Macaca mulatta: one gene and its partner. The main gene of each other region encodes a partner of the protein of the gene in region 2 in a complex. Links are inferred from orthologs where the notes say so. Each region holds a gene or a part of one and is shown on either strand. Other genes may lie near its edges.

The links. Proteins that work in one complex are often made in the same cells at the same time.
Region 1: GATB (region 2) and GATC share a complex: the UniProt entries of both Homo sapiens proteins name them as parts of the heterotrimeric GatCAB amidotransferase (AdT) complex. The link is inferred for Macaca mulatta from reciprocal best matches to the Homo sapiens genes GATB and GATC.

What each region holds. Positions count from the first base shown.
Region 1 is NC_133416.1:127,756,479-127,760,492, reverse strand, and holds the start of GATC (glutamyl-tRNA(Gln) amidotransferase subunit C, mitochondrial), read right to left. Parts: upstream 2,801-4,014; 5' UTR 2,764-2,800; coding exon 2,683-2,763; intron 2,588-2,682; coding exon 2,415-2,587; intron 1,303-2,414; exon of another isoform or gene 1,134-1,302; intron 1-1,133. Other genes in the region: TRIAP1 (TP53-regulated inhibitor of apoptosis 1), read left to right, coding at 2,872-3,018. UniProt on the Homo sapiens protein: Allows the formation of correctly charged Gln-tRNA(Gln) through the transamidation of misacylated Glu-tRNA(Gln) in the mitochondria. The reaction takes place in the presence of glutamine and ATP through an activated gamma-phospho-Glu-tRNA(Gln).
Region 2 is NC_133410.1:160,355,175-160,359,111, forward strand, and holds the start of GATB (glutamyl-tRNA(Gln) amidotransferase subunit B, mitochondrial), read right to left. Parts: upstream 2,801-3,937; 5' UTR 2,776-2,800; coding exon 2,600-2,775; intron 669-2,599; coding exon 518-668; intron 1-517. UniProt on the Homo sapiens protein: Allows the formation of correctly charged Gln-tRNA(Gln) through the transamidation of misacylated Glu-tRNA(Gln) in the mitochondria. The reaction takes place in the presence of glutamine and ATP through an activated gamma-phospho-Glu-tRNA(Gln).

The DNA of each region.
Region 1 (4,014 bases), on a different chromosome or scaffold from region 2:
GGCTCACGCCTGTAATCCCAGCATTTTGGGAGGCTAAGATGGGCAGATCACTTGAGGCCAGGGGTTCGAGAACAGCCTGATCAACATGGTGAAACCCCACCTCTACTAAAAATACAAAAATTAGCTGAGTGTGGTGGCGGATGCCTATAATCCCAGCTACTCCGGAGGCTGAGGCACAGAAATCACTTGAACCTGGAGGGTGAAGGTTGCAGTAAGCCGAGATCGTGCCACTGTACTCCAGCATGGGCAATGGGGCAGAGGGCAGGACTCCATCTCAAAAAAAAAAAGAAAAAAAAGTTAGACTTTCTTTAGGAAGTGGGAGGCTGAGGCAGGAGAATTGCTTGAGACCAGGAGTTTGACACCAGACGGGGCAACATAGCAAGACCCTGTTTCTACAAAAATTTAAGAATTAGCCAGGTGTGGTGGTGCACACCTACAGTCCCAGCTATTTGGGAGGCTGAGGCAGGAGGATCTCTTGAGTCTAGAAGTTTGTGACCAGCCTGGGCAATATAGTGAGACCCCATCCAAAAGGAAAAAGAAAATTGCAAAGTAGAGAAGAGATTTGAAAGAATCAAACACTGGGCCAGGCGCTGTGGCTCATGCCTGTAATCCCAGTACTTTAGGAGGCTGAGGTGGGTGGATCACCTTTGCTCAAGAGTCAAGCCTGGAGAACATGGCAAAATCCTGTCTCTATAAAAAATATAAAAAATTAGCGGCCGGGCCCGGTGGCTCAAGCCTGTAATCCCAGCACTTTGGGAGGCTGAGATGGGCGGATCATGAGGTCAGGAAATCGAGACCATCCTGGCAAACACGGTGAAACCCCATCTCTACTAAAAAGCACAAAAAAAAAACTAGCCGGGCGAGGTGGCGGGTGCCTGTAGTCCCAGCTACTGGGGAGGCTGAGGCAGGAGAATGGCATGAACCCGGGAGGCGGAGCTTGCAGTGAGCTGAGATCCGGCCACTGCACTCCAGCCTGGGCGACAGAGCGAGACTCCATCTCAAAAAAAAAAAAAAAAAAAAAAAAATTAGCCAGGCCTGGTGGCATGAGCCTGTGGTCCTATACTTGGAGGCTGAGGTAGGAGGATCTCTTGAGCCTGGGAGGTGGAGGTTGCAGTGAGCTGAGATCATGCCACTGCACTCTAACCTGGGTGATAAGAGTGAGACTCCATCTCAAAAAATAAAAATAAAAGGCCAGGCGCGGTGGCTCAAGCCTGTAATCCCAGCACTTTGGGAGGCCGAGACGGGCGGATCACGAGGTCAGGAGATCGAGACCATCCTGGCTAACACGGTGAAACCCCGTCTCTACTAAAAAGTACAAAAAACTAGCCGGGCGAGGTGGCGAGCGCCTGTAGTCCCAGCTACTCGGGAGGCTGAGCCAGGAGAATGGCGTAAACCCGGGAGGCGGAGCTTGCAGTGAGCAGAGATCCAGCCACCGCACTCCAGCCTGGGTGACAGAGCGAGACTCCGTCTCAAAAAAATAAAAAAATAAAAATAAAAATAAAAATTCGAGGCAGGAATGCAACCGGAACCAAATCTCATAAAGTGCTCACATTTTAATAAAAGAGATATAACAAATGAACAAAAGTCCATTAAAATGTTAGAGGAAAAAACCCAATAGGATGTGTTACTAACCAGAAGGGGAGAAGGGATTTGCAGTGGTTAGGAAAGCCCTTTCCCAGAAGATAAGCTGAGACCTGTGCCAAGAGGGAGGCAGCCATGCAAATACTGAGAGGCAGGAAAAAACGAAGGGTCAGTGCAAAGATCTAGAGAGGGAAAGAACTTGTCTTGCTGGAGACGCAGTCAAGGTAGCCAAGGAGGGTACTGAGAAGAGTATGTCTGAGTGAGCAGGCAGGGACTCTATGGAGTAGGGGCTCAAAGGCGATAATTAGGCCAGGCGCGGTAGCTCACGCCTATAATCCCAGCACTTTGGGAGGCCGAGACGGGCGGATCACGAGGTCAGGAGTTCAAGACCAGCCTGGCCAAGACGGTGACACCCCGTCCCCGTCTCTACTAAAAATACAAAAAAAAATTAGCCGGGCGTGGTGTCAGGCGCCTGTAATCCCAGCTACTCGGGAGGCTGAGGAAGATAATTGTTTGAACACGGGAGCGGAGCTTGCAGTGAGACGAGATCGCGCCACTGCACTCCAGTCTGGACTCCGTCTCAAGAAAAAAAACACAAAGGCGATGATGAGCAGTTTGGGTTTTGTTTCTACTTACACTAGGACGACACGAGCGAGAGCATCCGTAATGAACAAGGGGAAGAGTGAAGCCACTGACTCGCGAGGTGACCGTGGGCAAGTTCCTGAATCTCGCTAACGCTCTTTAACCCCCTGGAAAATTGTTCGCTAATCGTCACATTAAACGGCTGCGAACGGGCCACGCTCAAGGCTTCGGGGCTGCAGCCTCGAGTTTACCTGTCCTCCAGGACCGACTCCATGGGCTCCACCCCGTCAGTGTCCACCGCACGTAGCCGGTCGGCGAAGGCGATAGCTTTCTCCAGTCGCGCCACTGCCTCGCAGCTGCCGAAGTCCACAAGCGCTAGACGCTCCAGGTGCTCGATCACCTGGGCCGTGATCCGGCCACTGCCCTGGAGGAGGAATGAGGCACGGAGTGTGGTTCACCGGCGCCCCGGTGTGCCTCCCGGCTTGCTCCGCCACCCGCCTAGATGGCCCTGGCCTTTACCTGAGGATCCGCCTTGGACGTGAAGCCCTGGCGCCCGCCCAGAGGGGCCCGAAGGCCCAGCCACACCAACCGCGACCACATTTCTTCCTTCCTTGGCCCCCGTAGTGCGCCCGCGCGTAACGCCGAGCGACGCGCCTAAGAGTGATGACATCAGAGTGCGCTGCCGCCGCCGCCGACACCACTGTCGCCATGAACAGTGTGGGGGAGGCATGCACGGACATGAAGCGCGAATACGACCAGTGCTTCAATCGCTGGTTCGCCGAGAAGTTTCTCAAGGGGGACAGCTCCGGGGACCCGTGCACCGACCTCTTCAAGCGCTACCAGCAGTGTGTTCAGGTGAGCCCTTCCGCCTCTGTTTCCAGGCCCCGCATTCTCCGCGCTGTGTCCCACTACACTCGTCGTGTTTTATGGGGGTTGGGACTGGACTGGAAGGGTGGAGAAAAGCCGCAGTGAGGTCAGTGGCAGGAGCTCGCTCCCCTATCATCACCACCGAGGCCGTTTGGGTGTCTCCCCGAATGACAAATATTGGTGCAGTGCTTTTGTTTTTAAGACACACAGTCACATCTTTTGGTTCATTTGGTGTTCATCCTAAACTCGCAAGGTGGGTATAGTTACTCATATTTTATACATAAAAAACTAACACCCAGAAATAGGAAGTGATTGATCCGAGTTCACTAGCACCAGGTTGCCTTGATTCTTTCGCAGGTGGTGCACTTTTCCACTATTACAGCTGAGGTCTGGGCGGGGTTATACTTCAGACTGGAGGATCACATTATTTTGATGTTATAAACCCTTCGTTAGCCTGTTTATCTCTCTTGACCAGTCCCCGCAACTGCAACTAGGAAATGTTTATTCTGGCCCAATGGATGTGGAACTGCTTTGAATTGTTAGAACAGCACTGGGCAAAGCACTTCCAATAAGTTAACCCAACACATCCTCACAGCAGTTCCCCGAGGTAGTTGCTGTCTTCATCCCATTTAGTTGGTCACATAGCCAGTAAGTCTTTCACCAACACAAAGTGATGATTATTTTTCAAATTTCACTTAATTTTAATGGTTCCCTCACAACTCCTTTTCCAGTCTCCCTCAGGTCTTACACTTGATTTATTCATTATGGTACTTTTGGTTTTTATTTTTGAGGCAGAGTCTCCCTGTCTCCCAGGCTGGAGTGCAATGGCACAATCTCAGCTCACTGGCAACCTCCGCCTCCCAGGTTCAAGCTATTCTCATGCCTCAGCCACCGGAGTAGCTGGAATTACAGGCATGCACCCCCATGCCCAGCTAATTTTTGTATTTTTAGTATAAACAGGGTTTCGCCATGTTGGCCAGGTTG
Region 2 (3,937 bases):
TTCTACTGGGCTACTCAAATAGCTCAGGCCACCACCTCTTTAGTAACACTTCCATAACCAAAGGTACCCCTACCTCAATTTCTCACAATAGTCCTTTCATTTACTGAATTAGTTGTCCGTTTTCTGGGTTTCAAAACCATCCTCTGCATATTACCTTCAAAGAAGGAATCACATTGCCCTCTATTTGTTTATAAGACACATCTCCCCTACTAGTTTTTGAACTCCTTAAAGGCAAGGCTCATCTTTATGACCCAGCTCATAGCACAGTATCTGATATTAGTAGGCATGCTAAAATGTTTGTGAAGTGATAAATACGTGTATGAATATGTTTAGACTTAGAAACAGCATCACAGAGATGGGTCTTTAGAAAACATTTAATACATCCCACTTCACCCAAAATTCCCTAAAGAAGTATTTCCAAACAGTTGTGTTATTATTAAAATAAGAAAATAATTTTCCATGTTCAATATAAAATAAACATTTTTCTAATGAAAATAGGATTAAATAAAAATCTTACCGGCAAAGTTCCAGGTAGAGATGCATCAAAAAAAGAAACCAAAGAATTTGGAGGTGCTGAAAAGCGAACTTGAGATCCAGAGAAGAGTTTAGAGTTGGAGGAAATCTGGGCATGAATTTCCAAACCTACCACAGCAGCCCATTTGTGTTCACTAAGAAGAAAGAGATAATGGTTAAGATGTAATTATGTTTGTCACCATGAATGAATTTCTGTAAGTCTAAACCACAAATGTTAATTTCCTATATGTGTTTTAAACTTATTACAGTGTTATATCCTTACATTAAAAATGTCATATTTTATCAGTGACTAAATAAAAACCAATTTAGAATAAGCGCCTACACTGAGATTGGCAAACTAAAATTCATTTACAACATGGCATCGGGAGGCTGATGATATAAACACGAAGGCAATAGAGAAAGGAACAATTTGGTGTCTTAAAACAATGTAGAAATGGGTATCAGGTGACAACTGCTTGGCTAACTTCAGTGAAAAGCAGCATTTAACAAATTAACTGTACCTTATCAATTAATCACTCAGTAAATGAAGAAAGCTGATCTTTCCCACATTATTTAGAATTAACATAAATGGCAAGATTCTACTACTAGAGAAATAATGATAAATAGTTCCACATTTCTTATTTAAAAAGGAAATTTGCAACCATGTTTTGAATTCCTTTCACAAAAACGGTTTGCAAGTATAATAACCAGAGAGACACAGATATAATAAATCACCACTAAATGATACTCTTGAAAAAATTTTGCTAAACCCCATCATATTAAACCATCTGATGTGGCATATTTTTGGTCCCCCATATCACTTGCAATTCCTGAGACCTAATTTCAGGTTACTTTGTTCATGCTTATTTGCTATGAAATCTAAGAAGCTATTAAATGCTATAATAATCCCTCTTATCCGGCCAGTCCTACTCTGTTGAGTCTGTACATAGGCCTCTCCAGGTCCTTATAAATGTGCTTATTCCCTGTGAAATCCATGTATGTTCCTATCCTGCTCTTCTCCCAAGCAATTTTGTGTGTATATGTGTATATATATATGTGTGTGTGTGTATATATATACATATATATACAGATTTTACATCATTTTGTTTTGTTTCAATAATTTCAGCACATAAACGTCTATATCTGAAGTACTGTAAGAATAAGTCCTTCTTTTTAAAGTTTGGAAACACAGCCCACAAGGGAGGTGAATTAAAGAAAGAACTCGTTAGAAATTCTGCATGCAGTAAAGCATCATTCAAAGTATTTTTGCAGTTCCATTACATGAGAGAAAAAATGTTCTTTCCATTCACAGGGAAACAATCTAATTCACGAAAAGAATACAAAACTGAATACTTCTTTCAGGACAATTTCCCTCTGTTTCTCCAACTGAAAGTAAAAATAATGCCAACCAGTCTCAAAGAATAAACAAAATATTAGAAACTTGCCATATGTTTCTGTATTTAAAGAGAAACTATTTAATTCTTACATAATGAAGCATAAACAGCTGTTCAGGGGATAATCTGGCCAAATAAGCAAAACTCTCTATATAACCCGAGGGAGTACCTCTTCTTTTGGCTGCGTCCTCCTAGGTCTAAACACACATATTCAACATAAAACGCCTGCACAGCTAGCTAGTGTTTTCTGACTAATGACAATAACCCACCACTTCCAGAGCTTGTAGGTAAAGGCTCCCTTTCTCCCTTTAGAACACTGCCGGCCCATACTAGCGCTAAATAAAATCAGCTAAATATGATCCCGCTTCTCCTGTCACCGTCCCCACTGCCAGTGCTATTAGTAAGATGACCGAATCCACTCTTCTGTCTGTGCAGCCTTCAAGAAAATACTTGCTATTTTACACTCGCGAATTCCCCAACTACGTCTATTTGAAAATAGTGGTTTATATATGGGGGCGGAGCTGATAGAGGGCCTGTTTTGTGCTTTTATTTAGGTTTCGGGGCTCCAGGTTATAACTCAACGCCCTCCCCTCAGCCAAAACGTCTAGAAGCTGGGCTGTAATTGCCATCCTTTCCCCAGTCCTGCAGTTCCACCTCAGTTAGGTGGGCAGAAATGGTATGAAACAGAATACCCTTTCCTCGGCTTCTGGGTCATGCAGAGGGGCTGCTGAGCCACTGAGCTCTGTCCCCTAATCCAGTTGGATGTGGACCCAGTCGGAGCCTCTCTTCGGTGGCAAGAACCGCCGTCAACCCGGGCGAAAGTCCAAAGTCTTCCACGGCCGACCCAGCGCAGCATGGGCGCCGCCATTGTAACGCCAGGGTCTTGGTCAGGTGACTCAGTCACACTGTGCCGCGAGGCTCCCTGGGAAGCGTAGTTCTGGAACTGTATTAAAAACGCTATAGGCTCGGACCGGAAGACTACTACTCCCGGCGAGCGTGGTGATTCGAAGCCTACCGGAACCCGGCGGAGAGGGGAGGGAAGGAGAAATAGAGGAGAGGGTGGGAGGGTTTCAGGGTGGGGAGGTGTGACTCCTCCTAGCGGGGAGTTGGAGAGGCTTGTGGCTCTGAGCGTGTATATATGAGTTTGAGTGTGAGCACTTGGTGCTTGGAGCTAAGAAGCGTTGCCGGGATTTTATAACCCAGTTAACCTTGCAAGGGGAAGTAAATGACCTTGACATCTCAGCAAAGACTTCCTGAGCCCCCAAACCTACTCCGTTATATTCTGTGTCTACTCCTCTACTTTGCTCAGCAATTTGTGCGTTAATGCAACAAATACTTATTTGCATGCCTACCGTAACGCCAGGCTCAGTTCCTAGGCACTGTAGTTACTGCAGAGATCAAGACAGTTAAGGCCCCCATGTTAATGGAGCTTACATTCTAAAGAAGGGAGACATACAGAAGTTAACAAAAATAAGATACTTCCATATAGGTAGTAAGTGCTATGTTTGAGCAGAGGTATTTAGAGAGAAACAGCCCTAGATTGAATGTTTGTGTACATTTTAACCTCCTTTTTATCATTGGCCAGTATCAGAAACACACTCATTGTATGCTAGGAGCAGATACCATCGTCCCAGAGGACTTCCTTCATTTTTCTGCATCAAAACTAATACCCCTTGTTAAAACTGCCACCGATTTTTTGTATTTGAACACAGTCTAGAGTAGTCATTTAGGCACTCTCTATTTCATCATCCTGCTTTGATTGTCCTCATAGTGCTTTTGACTACCTGATGCTTATCTTCTATTTCCACAAATTCCTTGTCTGTCTTACTCACTACAGTACAAAGTAGGTTCCTCAAAAATATTTGTTGAATAAAGTAGGGCAGTGTGGAGAATGCATTTGACAAAGGATGGAGTGGATGCCCTTTGGAGCAGTAATTGTTTAGGGGAGAGATGATTAATTAGGATGGCGGCAGAGGCAAAGAGAAATGGATCTATTTGAGATAGATATGGGAAGTAAAATTGAAGGACTC